2 linked regions of the Ovis aries genome follow. The protein of the gene in region 1 binds, or shares a complex with, the protein of each later gene. Links are inferred from orthologs where the notes say so. Each region holds a gene or a part of one and is shown on either strand. Other genes may lie near its edges. The genes, in order: RANGAP1 and SENP2.

What was found.
Region 2: the proteins of RANGAP1 (region 1) and SENP2 are in contact, whole or in part, in a crystal structure (PDB 2IO3), measured with the Homo sapiens proteins. The link is inferred for Ovis aries from reciprocal best matches to the Homo sapiens genes RANGAP1 and SENP2. Residues at the interface, in NP_001265580.1 of Homo sapiens: Glu467, Asn508, Thr511, Thr514, Arg515, Val518, His519, Leu523, Lys524, Ser525, Glu526, Asp527, Val529; in NP_067640.2 of Homo sapiens: Tyr408, His409, Trp410, Val477, His478, Asp495, Met497, Gly498, Gln499, Lys500, Pro536, His537, Gln541, Gln542, Asn544, Gly545.

The regions. Positions count from the first base shown.
Region 1 is NC_056056.1:218,246,994-218,254,652, reverse strand, and holds the start of RANGAP1 (ran GTPase-activating protein 1), read left to right. Parts: upstream 1-2,427; 5' UTR 2,428-2,686; exon of another isoform or gene 2,687-3,125; intron 3,126-5,191; 5' UTR 5,192-5,229; coding exon 5,230-5,341; intron 5,342-5,741; exon of another isoform or gene 5,742-5,814; intron 5,815-7,659. UniProt on the Homo sapiens protein: GTPase activator for RAN. Converts cytoplasmic GTP-bound RAN to GDP-bound RAN, which is essential for RAN-mediated nuclear import and export. Mediates dissociation of cargo from nuclear export complexes containing XPO1, RAN and RANBP2 after nuclear export.
Region 2 is NC_056054.1:202,375,232-202,382,428, reverse strand, and holds part of SENP2 (sentrin-specific protease 2), read left to right. Parts: intron 1-857; coding exon 858-952; intron 953-1,528; coding exon of another isoform or gene 1,529-1,580; intron 1,581-1,681; coding exon 1,682-1,740; intron 1,741-2,390; coding exon of another isoform or gene 2,391-2,391; coding exon 2,392-2,454; intron 2,455-4,388; coding exon 4,389-4,565; intron 4,566-6,077; coding exon 6,078-6,209; intron 6,210-7,197. UniProt on the Homo sapiens protein: Protease that catalyzes two essential functions in the SUMO pathway.

The sequences.
Region 1 (7,659 bases):
GCTTGCTGGGGGGCCCACAGGAAGCAGATTCATTCAGGTTGGAGTCACCAGGGCAAGGAAAGCCTCCTGGAGGAGGTGGCATTTAATATGGGCTTTGGCTTCCCTGGCGGCTCAGAGGGTAAAGCGTCTGCCTGCCATGCAGGAGGCCTGGGTTCGATCCCTGGGTCAGGAAGATAAATCCCATGGACAGAGAGGCCTGGTAGACTACAGTCCATGGGATCGCAAAGAGTTAGACACGACTGAGCAACTTCACTTCACTTCACTTTGCAGGCAGAAGAGGAAAGGGAGAATATAGGATCCACAACTCAGTAGTAGTGTGGACTAGAGTCTGGAGCTTCTGTTTTCTCATCTCTGCTGGGAAGGGTAGCAATGATGCCCTTTTCCTTTGTTGTGGTAAAGATTAATTTAGTTGTATGAGGAAGAATCTGGCACATACTACATTTAACTCTGCTCTGCTGCCGCTGCTAAGTCGTTTCAGTCGTGTCCCTCGAGGCTCCCCCGTCCCTGGGGTTCTCCAGGCAAGAACACTGGAGTGGGTTGCCATTTCCTTCTCCAATGCATGAAAGTGAAAAATGAAAGTGAAGTCGCTCAGTCGTGTCCAACTCTTAGCGACCCTGTGGACTGCAGCCTACCAGGCTCCTCCGTCCACGGGATTTTCCAGGCAAGAGTCCTGGAGTGGGGTGTCATTGCCTTGTCATTGCAGGTAAAGCAAAAGCATAAGCGGGTGTGTGGGCCAAGTTGTGAGAGGTAACTTTGGAAGAGAAGTCTGCCTGTGTTGACCGTGCTGATCTCTGGGAACTAGAGTTTCTTGGGTAACATTTACTTTTCTGTTACTATCCTGTTCTATGTTGGTTGAAGTGTTTATAATGAACACCTTATTTATATAATGGTTAAAAAGTTCTTTGTGGAAAAAAAGCTACTTGTATTCTGTTACTTAAAAATTCGAACCTAGAGAAAAGTAGCAAAAATGTTCAAAGAACTCCCACAGACCCTTCACCCAGATTCACTTGTTGACATTTTGCTATACTTGCACTCTCTAGCGTTACATATGAATGCATACATTTTTTAAGCCATTCCAAAGTAGGTTCGGTGAAGGCAATGGCAACCCACTCCAGTACTCTTGCCTGGAAAATCCCGTGGATGGAGGAGCCTGGTAAGCTGCAATTCATGGGATCGCTAAGAGTCGGACACAACTGAGCGACTTCATTTTCACTTTTCACTTCCATGCATTGGAGAAGGAAATGGCAACCCACTCTAGTGTTCTTGCCTGGAGAATCCTAGGGACAGGGGTAACCCCAGTGGGCTGCCGTCTATGGGGTCGCACAGAGTCGGACACGACTGAAGCGACTTAGCAGAGTAGGTTGCAAACATCATGCCTGTAATTATTTCAGCATGTATTTCCCAAGAACAAGGGCAGTCTCTTACATAATCAGGTAGAATTTAAAAGGAACAACAGGTTTAACATGGAAACAATGCTATTATCTTTTTTTTACAACGTTATTATCTAACATACAAATTTTTCTGTCTCAATATTGCCCTTTATTGTGATTCTCTGTACCCCGGCCCCAAGCTCCAGTCCAGGACCACGTGTTGCATTTAATTATCGTGTCTTTTTAGTCATGTTTAATCTGCAGCAGCTCCTTAGCTTTTCTGTCTCACGACACAGACATTTTTGGAAGAGTACAGACACATTATTCCGTAACGTGTTCCTCAGTTGGGTAGGTCCGATGGTTCCTCACGATTAGAGTAATTTTATGCGTTGCGGGGACTGGACGGTGACGCTGTGTCCTTCTCAGCACAGCACTGCGGGAGGTGTGCGATGGATGTCAGCGTCAGTGTAGCGTTAACGTGAACGTTAATGTGGTTAAGGGTGGTGTGGCAGTTTCTTTGCTACAGAGTTACTATTTCCCCCCCGTCCTTTTAATTATCAAGGAATTTGTGGCTATTTTTGGGAAAGTCCTCGAATGTCCTTCCAATTTCATGGGACAAAAAAAAAGCGAGGTTTTCCCTTTAGGAAATGGACACCTCTTAGCTTGCGGAACAGATTGAGCTTCGAGTCTCCGTCAGCACCAGCCTTTGTCAATAAAGTTACGTGAACGTGAACATTTCCGGAAGGGCGGAGCCGGCCCGGCCTCAAGGCATTTAGGGAATTGTAGTCTTCCTGGGAGTTCGCGGTTCAACGCCTCCCAGCGGCCTCCGGGAGAAAGAGCCAGAAGCCGCAAAAGGGAGGGCACAGAGGGACCTAGCGGAGGCGCCGGGACGCCGCGCGGGTATTATGGAAATGGTAGTTCGCGGGCGCGACTCTGCGGCGTCTAGCCGCTCCCCGCGCAGGAGAAGCGGACTACCATACCCGACAGGCCGCGCGCGCGGGGGTAGGGGAAGCCGGGCCGGGCCTCCGACAAATCAAATCGAAGGAAAGAAACTGCCGGCTTTCAAAATCCACCTCCCTCCGCCATCATCCGCCGCCGTGCGGGGAGCAGGTGGTGTCGGAGGTGCGAGCGGAGAGAAGCGGTTGGACAAAGCTGACGGACGTCTACCGGTGGGGCTGAGCATCGGGAGCGCCGGACCGGAGGCGGCGACCCCGATCTGACCTGACCTGACCTGACCCGGACCCTAAATCCGTCCGCGCCCGCCGGACGCACGCGCGCACTCCGGTCGCCCCACGCGGCGGCGCAGCCTGTGTACGGTAGGGTCGGGGATCCCTTTCCTTTCCTTGTCACCTGCCCGGGGATGCAGGCGGGGGTGGCGCGGCGCTGGAACCGGGCGAGGAAGGTGTGGCGCTTTCTGCGTGCCCCCCTCCGTTTTCATCCCCTGTGCCCTCGACCGCCGAGCGCCGAGCCGGGTGGGAGTTGGGGCGCTGTCCCTTTTCCCAAGCGGCGAGGCTGAAGCTTAAGAGAGGGCGTCAGGCCCACCCGGCTCGCCCAGCCGGCAGCGGCGTCCCCTTTTCGCGTCGGTGTCAATCCGAGGGCGGTGAACGTCCGCCTGGGATCCCGGATGGGGCTCTGGTGCGGCCCCGCCTGTCATTGGCGTCCCGAACTCGCGCATCGCTCTCCCGCCGCCGCCTCGCAAGAGGCCCACACCCGCCGAGGACCTGGGCTGGTGCCGCCGCAGCCCCGGGGACCCGCGTGAGTCACTGCCGACGCTGGGCAGGAGTGGTGGATGTGCACGGAGGCAAATGTGCCAGGCTCCTGCTCGGGAGGGAGAGGAGATTTTTGCGTTTACTTCGCCGCTGGCCCTTTGCAGACCTTGGACCAGTCAGTTCATCTCTCTGTGGTCCAGTTGCCTAGACTTTATAGTGGATAGGATGGGTGTGTGTGTGTGTGTGTGTGTGTGTACACGTAGGTACTGGACTTCTCTATGGGGGTGTGTGTGTGTACACGTAGGTACTGGACTTCTCTATGGGTGTGTGTGTGTGTGTGTGTGTGTACACGTAGGTACTGGACTTCTCTATGGGGGTGTGTGTGTGTGTGTTTACGTCTGTACGTTCGTACTGGACTTCTCTTCCAGCTGAGAAGTTCTGTGTTCCTGTTTCATCTGGACGCCTCACCACCGTTTTTCTAGCCTTAAATTGTCCCAAACCAGAATTACAAGGAGTGGGGGGGTGGTGTTGTCAGGCTATTTTATGTTCAGTTTCATCCCCTCGTTCATTCTTGAAGCAGCTTTGAGATTCCCAGCCTCACGCAGCAGATAGAGTGATCCTGTCAGAACATAACTCACATCACAGTCCCTCTTCTGCTAGAAACCCTCCAGTGGCTCCCTTTGTCATTCAGAGTAAAAGCTTTAGTTCTTAAACTGGCCTTTGTGACTGGGGCCTCTTGTTAATTCTCTTTATCTCTTACCTCTTTTCTCCTTCCCTCTCTGTGTTCCAGCCCCACTGGCCTCCTTGCACTTCCTCTGACCCCCACTTCACCCACAAGAGCCTTTGCAAGAATGTTCTTCCCCCAGATATCTGCATGGGTCAGTCCCCAATATCCTTCAAGTCTTTGTTTCTTTCTTGATAATACCTTCTTTAAGACTCTTGAGAGTCCTCTTGGATTGCAAGGAGATCAAACTAGTCAATCCTAAAGGAAATCAGTCCTGAATATTCATTGGAAGGGCTGAAGCTGAAGCCCCAGTACTTTGGCCACCTGATGTGAAGAACTGACTCCTTGGAAAAGACCCCGATGCTGGGAAATATTGAAGGCAGGAGAAGGGAACGACAGAGGACAAGATGGTTGGATGGCGTCACCGACTCAATGGACATGAGTTTGAGCAAGCTGCAGGAGACGGTGAAGGACAGGGAACCCTGGTGTGCTCCAGTCCATGGGGTTGCAAACAGTTGGACACGACTAAACGACTGAACAACCACCACCACTCTTATTTTAGATTAAATCCATTCCCCCCTCCCAAGAGAAAAAGGAAAACAGCAAAGTTTCTTACCCCTTTTCCTGTTTTTTTTTTTTTTTTTCTTATCACTGCCTGAGACACTAAATAACCTTGTTCTTCCTGATCACCCATTCCTCTTTGGGGAAATGTAGTGATCCTTTCTGCCAGTCTGCTGAACTGCAGGCTGGAAGCTCCTTTTTCTCAACAACTCTGTCCTCAGTCTATTGTGATGGTGGCTATTGTGATGTAGAGACCTCTGGTCGCCTAGGAACCCCTGAGGTCTGGCCGCCATGGGCTGCCCAGTCTCCTGGCCACGGTTGAAACCAGCTGTGCAGTAGGCTGTGCCCTGTGCCCCATCCCCAGAGTCATGCCAGTGAGGGCAGTGGGGCATTCTTTGGGATGGATAACCTGGATCCCATAGCCATCCATGTCCTGTTTGAGGAATGGGACCCTCAAACAGAGAGCGCCCAACATGATCAGGCAGGTGTGTGCTCTGGGGAGACTCTTCATAGCCGTCAGACTGGGACTTGACTGCCGTTCCCTGGGGACCCAGTGGTCAACTCACATGGCTCTGCTTGGTACCCTGCCTGGGGCAGTTGGGCAGAGGAGGGCCTGTAGTGGGACAGTAACTCTGCAGAGGTTGAAACCTTTGCCCTTTTAGAACTCTTTCTTGCTCAGTGTTGTTTTTATTTCTCCCAGTGGTTTAGCGCTTGGGATTTCCTTATCCTGGGGGGTGGGATCAGGCAGCTGAAATGGTCCTCCCCGGCCCTCCCCAACCTGGAGATGCCCAGAGATCCTCTCTCTTAATGCACTTTGACCTCTTCAGTCTGCAGATTTCCAGGGGAGCCCACCAACGCAGCCACCATGGCCTCTGAAGATATTGCCAAGCTAGCAGAGACGCTTGCCAAGACCCAGGTGGCCGGGGGACAGCTGAGTTTCAAGGGCAAGAGCCTCAAACTCAACACTGCGGATGATGGTGAGTCTCCGTGTGGACTGGCTCTGGAGGGACAGGGAACAAGCGAGAGAGCGCCTCCTCGTCCCACTTGTCAGGCCCGGTTAGCTTCATGATCACACTCGTCCTAGCCCAGTGAGGCTTGAAGATGTTTTGTCCACGAGCACGTGGTGGGCATCCCTGCCGGTGGCTTCAGGCCGGCAGATGGGAAGGGCCTTTTTGGGGGAATGGTCGGCAGTGAGGGACCATGGTGAGCTGCAGTCTCAGGATCCAGCCCTGATTTCTTACTTTAGATCCACCCCTACATTCACCGCATGATCCAGAGCTGGTCTGGGAATAGTCATTGCCTTCCTGAGAGCGGGAAGGTTCTGAGCACTGCACCCCCGAGAGCAGTGAGGCTGCATGAAAGGACAATCCAGGGGTTTCCCTGGCAGTCCAGTGGTTAAGACTCTGCACTTCCACTGCAGGGGCCATAGGTTCAATCCCTGGTCAGGGAACTAAGATCCCACATGCTGTGCAGTGCAGGCCAAAAAAAAGAGAGAGACACTGGGCCTTCTTGGGAGTCTAGTCCATGCAGTGAATGCCCCTGGGGGAGGGATGGATGTGCCTCTCTGTGAACAGGCATCCGGGCCGGACAGACCTAGAAGCAGAATGCAGACCCTGTCTGCTTCCGTGGCCCGAGTATGGCTGGCACGGATCCACCCCGAATCCCAGGCATCTGGAAGTGAAGGCGCCTGCGTTGGGGCCTCTTGAGGTTCCGGCCCAACCAGAGAAACTGGTCTGGACTTGCCTGGTTGTCCTGGTGTATAGGCAGGCTGGCTCCCATCCTCCAGGTCAGAGACCGCTTGAGTCCTTGCACATTCCTAACATCTCTGTAGGGCCTTAACCTTTAGAGTTCCTCCCTGTGCTTTATCACTTTTGATCCTTACATCATCCCTGGGGAAGGGAGGTAAACATGTTGCCATTTAATGAGTAAAGAGTAAAGAACTCGGGAGTCTTCAGTAACTTACTGAAGCTGCTGTAGCCCTGAATAGCAGAGCCAGGATTCCGTCAGAGGTACAGCAGAGTCCCTGGTCTGACGTGTCTCAGTGTACATTCAGCCCAGCTCAGTAAACGTGAATTTGCTATTAAATGCTGGTCATTAACACTGGGTCAGGTAGTCTTCAGTGCTGTACAAAGAGTGTCTCCATTTATCCCCCCTTGAAAAGGTCTGGAGGTAGGTTTCACCCCATTTTGAAAATTGGGAAGTTGAGGCCTAGGAAGGGTCGTGATAGGACTTTCCTAAGGCCCAGCTCTAAGCAGTGGAGCTGGGAAGAAAATTCAGGTAAATCGATGCACATAACCACTTCATTGGCTCAGGCTGGACGTGCTGCCTCCCGCTTTGGTGGTCACCAGGGATGGGCAGCTTAGAGCCCGAGCCTCTGAGGAGCTCCTGACCTGGAGTAGGAGTGAGGTCCTCATACAGCCAACAGGAGAGGGATGAAACACACTCTCAGAGACATGGAAGAGCTCTGGGAAGTAAGGTTGGGGAAGGGATCACTTGTTTTCCACTTAGGGAGAGGCTTAGGAGGGCTCTGAAAGTCCCCGAGGATGAGCAGACACTTGAATGAGAGTGGGCACCGCAGGCAGGAGAACCATGTGATTGGGTCAGGAGCTGGGACACGCAGGTGGGCTTGAGAGGAAAGAAGTCAGAATCCCAGAAGGAGCCCTGGGCAGAGGCCCTTGAGTGCTGTATCAAGGGCCCTGGTGGCCTGATCGTGAGTCCAGAAAGGGCCTCTGTCTTGGCTGGGAGTGAGCAGGTGAGGTCCAGGGAAGGCCATGAGGCCATTGATTAGAACTAGGCCCCCAAAATTGGAAAACAAAGAACTAGGTCCTTGTCTCTCCTCACTGAGTCATGTAAGGACCAAAGTAAGGCCTTGCTGCCTTATGTAGCAGAGCCCTGGGACTTGTTCCTTTGTGAGGCAGTCGAGGCTGAAAAGAGAAACCCCTTCCATACAGCCTGGTGACAGTTGGTGGTTAGTCAGGGCCAGCTGGGGCCCACCCCTGGCCTGTTTTAGTTCTGTGTAAAGTAACTCTGGGTTGCCGGTCAAGTGAGAGGCGACCCTGCTGTGAGCCCACCCTCTCCCGTCCCTGCCCTTTCCATTTGGGTGCTCGTCCTTGCATGCTCACTCTGTGGCTCCCTGGCTAAGCTCACGGCAAGCACAGTGCTTTCCGGTTTCTGTACCTGTGTCACATACTCGGCTCCCCCTGGGGCCCTGGCATCTCTCGCCTCGCTCTGAGGACAGTGTAAACATTCCCGTGAGCAGCCATCTTCCCTCCTGGTGAGCCGGCCGTTCCCTGGA
Region 2 (7,197 bases), on another chromosome or scaffold:
TGCCACTGCCTCCAAAGACACATTGTCCCTAAGGCGTCTTAGTGGATGGATCTTAGCACAGTTGGAAACTCTCCACTCTGCAGATAAGACTAAAGTCACCCCATGTCATAAGAAATGTTCCTTGTAAGACTGCATGTTACTTAAATGTGCTGAGTCCACCAAGTAGTTGAGAATGGTAGAAGGAATTGATGTCTGGCCTTTTATTTCTCTGTAAAAGGGACAAAGATTATGTGAGCTCAGGATTGAGGTCTGCTTGATAATTCTAGTAAGTGGTGTGAGAATACACAGAGGGGGATCCCAGAGATTATGTAACAATAAGTTGAAAAAGTCCCAAGACTGTCTAGCTTGTTGATTGCAGAAATAACAAGGGATTATTTGGAAATTTTAACTTTGGTTGTGAACTTAAAAATGCTCAGTTTAGTCAGTCAGAATGTTCGTGTTTTTTTCCATTTTGACTAGCCACTGTTGGAAGCAGCAGTATGAACTATTGGTTTTGTCATTTGGCTTTTAATGTGTTGTTTTGGGATGCACTTCAGTATATCATTTAAAATCTTTCATTTTTTAACTTGGGTATTATCATTCTGAGATTTTTCAGTCGAGGTGGCTTTGGGCATTGAAAACATCCAGTTTTATGGTAGAGAAATTGGAGGTTAGGTATCTTCGCTGGAATATTAGAATCAGGATCAGACTCCTTTTATCCTGGTCTCAGATGATACTATATTGTGATCTCTCTCTTGTGAGTTGACCTTTCAGGGTAATCAGTAACTCTTGTCTGGAGAAGTTTGCCAGGTAGAGACAGTGAATACTTACAGTAGATTTTCCTTTTATATCTGATCTTCACTTTTTGTGTTTCTAAGTTCTCAAAGAAGTCAGATGGACACATTAAAGACCAAAGGCTGGGGGGAAGAGCAAAGTCATGGAGTCAGAACAACTCAGTTTGTTCCAAAGCAATGTGAGTTCCCAGATTTAGCCCTGTCTTAATACCCTTAATATGTTGAACTTAGTTCAAAAGCATATAAAATTGAAAAATGGCATACTAGTGAAAGATGGTGTACCAAATTTTAAAACATTGTTAGACCCCAGGCTGTTGACTTACCCAGTACTAGTAATTTAGTAAGAAAGCTATTTCAAGTTAAAGCTGATCTATAAAATAACCTCTTGATTATTCTTCCTAGCTCCTGTATTGTAGCATATATTTTGTGAGCCTAAAATTAGTTTTGTTGTATTCCTATATTAATATCCTTGTTTTTTTCCACTTGCTGTTCACTAAATAACACTAAGTGATAGCTTACTAAGTAAGCAGATGTTAGCCAGTTTACACTAAAGACTATATGTAAAGGAGAAAGAGATTTATGCAACATTTTTTAGCAACTTAATTTGTATAAACACTAATGTTTTTGGAATCCATTTTAGCATTTCAATGTAAATGAGTATCTTCATACTTTGGGGACTGTAAGGTGAAATGCTAGCTATATGATTGATTAACGAAGGAAACACTTTTTTTTTTTTTTTTTTACCATTCTCACAGATAGAGTTGTTGAAACAAGGGGACCTCTGTGTTCAGTGAGAAGTGAAAAGAGGTACACTGTTCGGTTTATTCTAACTTCTCTTTTGACATATTTTCTTTCTTTCTTTTTTTGGCCGCACTGCACGGCTTGTGGGATCTTACTTCCCCACCCAGGTATTGAACCCGTGACCCCTTCAGTGGAAGCGTGGAGTCTTAACCACTGGACTGCAAGGAAAGTCCCTGACATTATTTTCTTACTTTATAAACTGTATTTAAGAGTAACTACATCTGTGAAACTGTGACCTCTTCTCAGCTCTGGCAGTTAGTCAGCATATGTGGGTATATAAGTAGCTCTTGTGTAAGATGCCCACCCTAGCTTGGGACGGTGCCCTTCTCTCCTAGACATTAGGCGTTGGGAGGCATCAGTGAGTGCTGCTGAGATAAGACTATGAGTGTGGTGGATAGTTCTAGTGATTAGCATCTCAAGTATATGAACAGTGAAGGCAGTTCTATGTGCCTTAGGATTTTAGATGCTGGTCCATTTATAGCAGACTGTGGTAAACTGTGGCCCATGGACCAAATCTGGTCTACCTGTTTGTAAGTACATTTTTATTGGACACAGTCATGCTCATTCATTTACATGCTGCTTAGGGCTGATTGAAAACAAAGTTGAGATGATATGACAGAAACCATAAGACCTGAAAAGCCTAAGATATTTATGAGCTGATCCTTTTTGGAAAAATTTTGCTAACTTTTGGTTTAGAGGACTATATAAACTCACGGCAATATTTGTTACTAATTATTAAATCTTATTTCTAAAACTAGTTTAACATGTACCAGATTAAAATCATCCAGTCTGTAATTTCTCAGTTTTTTTCCTCAGGTGTTCAAAGGGGAAAATTTCTGATACAGAAAAGACAGTTGGAATCAGACTAGAAAATGAATGTGTAAGTAGAAACCTTAGTTAAATTTTATGCCTTTGCTTCTTTCACGTGACTTACATTAAAATTTTGGTGCCCATGAAAAATAAGAAAGATAATATTTGTTACTTTAATTTCTAATTCCATTATTTTTCTTGAAAAAGCAACAAGCATTGAAGATACACACCTTTGGCTTTCTTCTAAGTTGCCAGATTTTTATCTCTGCAGTAGCCACCTTTGTGAGAGAGACCAACTTGGCTCCATCTTAGCCCTTATCTGTGTTGCCTGGCTTCTTTCAGAGATTCTTTTTTACATCTTTGTGCTGTGTTCATGAAGTTGCTTCAGTCATGTCCCCGCCTCTTTGCGACCCCATGGACTGTAGCCCTCCAGGCTCCTCTGTTCATGGGATTCTCCAGGCAGGAATACTGGAGTGGGTTGTCATGCCCTCCTCCAGGGGATCTTCTGGACTCAGGGACTGAATCTGCGTCTCTTATGTCTCCTGCATGGCAGGCGAGTTCTTTATCAGTAACGCCACCTGGGAGGGAAGCCCATTTAGGAAAATATTTGTTCAGGACTTTTCAGATTCAAGATTTCATATTTACTTGAAACTATTACAAATCTTACAAATGTTGAGTTTTAAGGCAGCTTTTTCACTCTGCTCTTTCACCTTCATCAAGAGGCTCTTTAGTTCCTCCTCACTTTCTGCCATAAGGGTGATGTCACCTGCATAACTGAGGTTATTGGTATTTCTCCCTGTAAAAACTTGATTCCAGCTTCTGCTTCATCAAGCCCAGCATTTCACATGTTGTACTCTGCATATAAGTTGAATAAGCAGGGTGACAATATACAGCCTTAACGTATTCCTTTCCCAATTTTGAACCAGTCCACTGTTTTTATACTAAGAACAAGTTTACCTGTAAAAATAGCAGTGGTTTATTTTTATTTTCATTTTGGGTTTTTTTTAATATACAATTTTTATTATTTTTAGCTATGCTCTGTCTTCGTTTGCTGTGTGTTGGCTTTCTCTAGATGCAGTGAGCGGGGCCTACTCTAGTTCTGGTGCTCTGGTATGCAGGCTTCTTATTGTGGTGGCATCTCGTTGCAGAGCAAGGCTCTAGGGTGCTTAGGCTTCAGTAGTTGTGGCTCACAGGCTCTGGAGCATGGGCTCAGTAGTTGTGGCACAGGGGCTTAGCTGCCCTGAGGTATGTGGGATCTTCCTGAACCAGAATTCGAACCCATGTCCCACGCACGCATTGGCAGATGGATTGTTAAAACCACTGGATCACCACGGAAGTCCACCCGTGGTTTATTTTGAGTGATAGGATTAAGGGTCATATATTTTGCTTTTTTAAAGTTTTTCAATATATCTTTTGACTATATTATTTTTAATTGAGATAAGAGAAGTGAAAATAATTTTCTTGCTGCTGCTGCGGCTAAGTCGCTTCAGTTGTATCTGACTCTGTGCGACCCCATAGACAGCAGCTCAGCAGGCTCCTCCGTCCCTGGGATTCTTCATGCAAGAACACTGGAGTGGGTTGCCATTTCCTTCTCCAATGAATGAAAGTGAAAAGTGAAAGTGAAGTTGCTCAGTTGTGTCCCACTCTTTGCGACCCCATGGACTGCAGCCTACCAGGCTCCTCCATCCACGGGATTCTCCAGGCAAGAGTACTGGAGTGGGTGGCCGTTGCCTTCTCCAAATTTTCTTGCTACCTCCTGGGAAAATGATGAATGTTCTGATTCATGATTTATAATTCAGGTGTCTTGTGAACCTTAGGTCTTGAAGTTTTCATTCCCTCTTGTAGGGACAGGCAGATAATGCTTTTTGTACTTTACTCATTTGGGGATGTACTAATTCTCTTTTCTTTCAAAATAATGGTGCTGTTCTATATTTCATGTGTTATATATGTGTATATGTACAAGTATCAAACATGTCAATAGAATATGGGAATTTTTTTAACCAGAGGAGGGGATTTCAGCTGGAACCCGACCTGTCTGAAGAAGTGTCAGCCCGACTCCGCCTGGGCAGTGGAAGCAATGGCTTACTCAGGAGGAAAATGTCAATACTTGAGACAAAAGAAAAAAATTGCTCAAACAAAGAAAGGGATAAAAGGACAGATGATCTTCTTGAACTTACAGAGGTATTGTTTCTTGTGTTAATCAAATAAGAGGCATGTTTTTACATAACCTTAGTTATTCAAGGCTTGAGTGCATGTTTTGTTTTGAGGAGTTTCTCCAGGAAATGTATGTGTGAAGGAAATCAGGCCCAAGGGCAGGTCATTTACTTGCTACACTGATCATTAGTGATCTGTACAAGTGGCCTAAGGGGTTAGATTAATTTCAGCAAATGTGAGTGGACAGAATTTTCACACATCTTGGAATATACTGGATTCTTTGTAGATTCTTTTTCTAAGCTTAAAGTATTTTGAGTTATGTAGTATGAGTTTGACACTATAAAGAGATTTGTTGCAGTTTTTTTGTTTTTGTCTTTTTAACGTTTTATTTTATTTACTTATTTTTGGCCATGCTGCACAGCCTATGGGATACCAGTTCCCCAACCAGGGTTGGAACTGAGACTCTGGTAGTGAAAGTGCTGGACTGCCAGGGAACTCCCCTTCATTGCAATGTTTGTTAAGTGATTATGGTTCTCTAAAATGCCCCTTTCATTGATCATTGTACAGCAAATAAGTAGAAGCTTATAGAAAACAAGGAAATGAAGGTTAACTTAAAAATTCTCATTTTAAAAGTGAGCCCACATTTTGACTCCTCCATTATTGTCTTAGCCGATGTCCTATTCGGTGATTATCTATTGAGCACTTATTATGTATTGGGCATGCAGGTGGAGAGAAAGATCCATAAAGTTGCAAAATTGTGTATAGTGGTAGAGGAAGCAGAAGTGAAAATATTTGGATGAAAGTTTCTAGTTGGTTTGTAGATTCAGGCTTATAGCATAAATTTATGTTTATCTGTGTAATTCTTTAGAAAAATGATGCCATCTATTTAGTAAGGACTCAGTTGCTAGACTGCTGCCTAGTTTTCTAGTTTCTGCTTATTCTCTTCACATCAGAAATGGATAGAATGATCTCTTTGATGCCCTAATTTTATTACTTTGATTTTTTAAAATCAAGGTTCAGGAGACAGTTGAGGAAAGTATGAAAATGCTTTTATAGTGTTGTGAAACGAGAAGAAAGTTCAGGAGTTAGACACTTCTGGATTCAAATCTTGGCTCTGTTTTTTAATCATCATATGACTCTGCATGTAACCAAAATTCTCTGAGGTTTACCTCTTCTATAAAATGGTGACAGTACTTTCCCCACAGATAGGGATTAACGAAGCACTTCAAGCATCTGGTACGTGTTTGGCTCATAGTGCTCAATAAATGGTAGTAGGATAATTGAGACTATACTTCAAACACTTTTACCCAATAACTTTTTCTAGCAGCTAGTAATTGGGCTGGCATTTCTTATAACTGTTAGTAAGACTGCTTTGTGGTCCTGAATTAAAATCTTTTTGTCTTTTGATTTAGTAGGTCTTTGATAGTTTTTCTTAAGGGTCAAGTATTATAGGGATGAAAAGCTTTTTTCAATCTCAGACTTTCAGTATCTGATAATGGTTCTTTATTAAAGTAACAACCTCTGGACTTTATAATTCAGGACATGGAAAAGGAAATCAGTAATGCTCTAGGCCATGGCCCACAGGATGAGATCCTAAGTAGTGCTTTCAAATTACGAATCACTCGAGGAGACATCCAGACCTTGAGGAACTATCACTGGCTCAATGATGAAGTAAGTTGTCTTTTTTTTTTTTTACCCCTTGGACTACCATTATGGTTAACTCTTTTCTACCTGTAATATCGTGGTTTCTACACAGGAGGGACTGCTAAGGTAGCTTTAGTTTACCTAAAACAAAAACATCTTAAACCTTGAAAAGATAGTTAATTCTGACTGTTTGCTGCCTTTAATTAGCGATGTTTCCCTCTTCTGCCTCTGCTTTGTTTTGTCTACATCTTCATTTATTAGTGACATTTTTATGAACCCTGGGTGCAACTGATAAATGGAAGGAAGCAGACAAGTGGTCATTTATTTTAGATGAATTCTTACAGGAGCCATTTTATTTTTTTCAATAATAAATATTTTGATCACTCTATATGCACTATGTGTTTATTTAATTTGAGTGATAAGTATAAACATTTGCCTAATGGCCTTGTCTCCTTACGTCTTCCGCTAAAGCTTAGTTCTTGCCAGTTTTCTGGTTGATCCTTTACCCAGCCAGCCATGCAGCCCCCTGCATTTTTTTCCCTTTGCTTTCCTTCCCTCTTGTCATGACTCATGGCATATAAACACATTCTTATAAAATTAGAACATTTCTGTTTCATATTACAAATACAATGTTTATTATAAAAATTTAGAAAATAAGGAAAAGTGAAGGAACAATATTATCATTCAAAAGTGGCACAGCTCTCTTGTAATAATCTATAATGGAAAAGAATCTGAAAAAGAATATATGTATGTAGAACAGAATCACTTTGCTGTACATCTGAAACATTATAAATCAACTATATTTCAATTAAAATGATTAAAATTATATATTTCTATGAAAACAAAAAAATGGCACAACTCAAAAGCAAACAAAATAACTATTGTTTTGGTGTATTTCCTTCCAGTGAGTTTTTAAAAATTGAGGTATAATTTATGTAAAATTCACTTTCAGTTAATATTTCCACATGTTTTATGTGTGGTGTAGTTACATACACCTTGTAGTTGTTGCAGAATT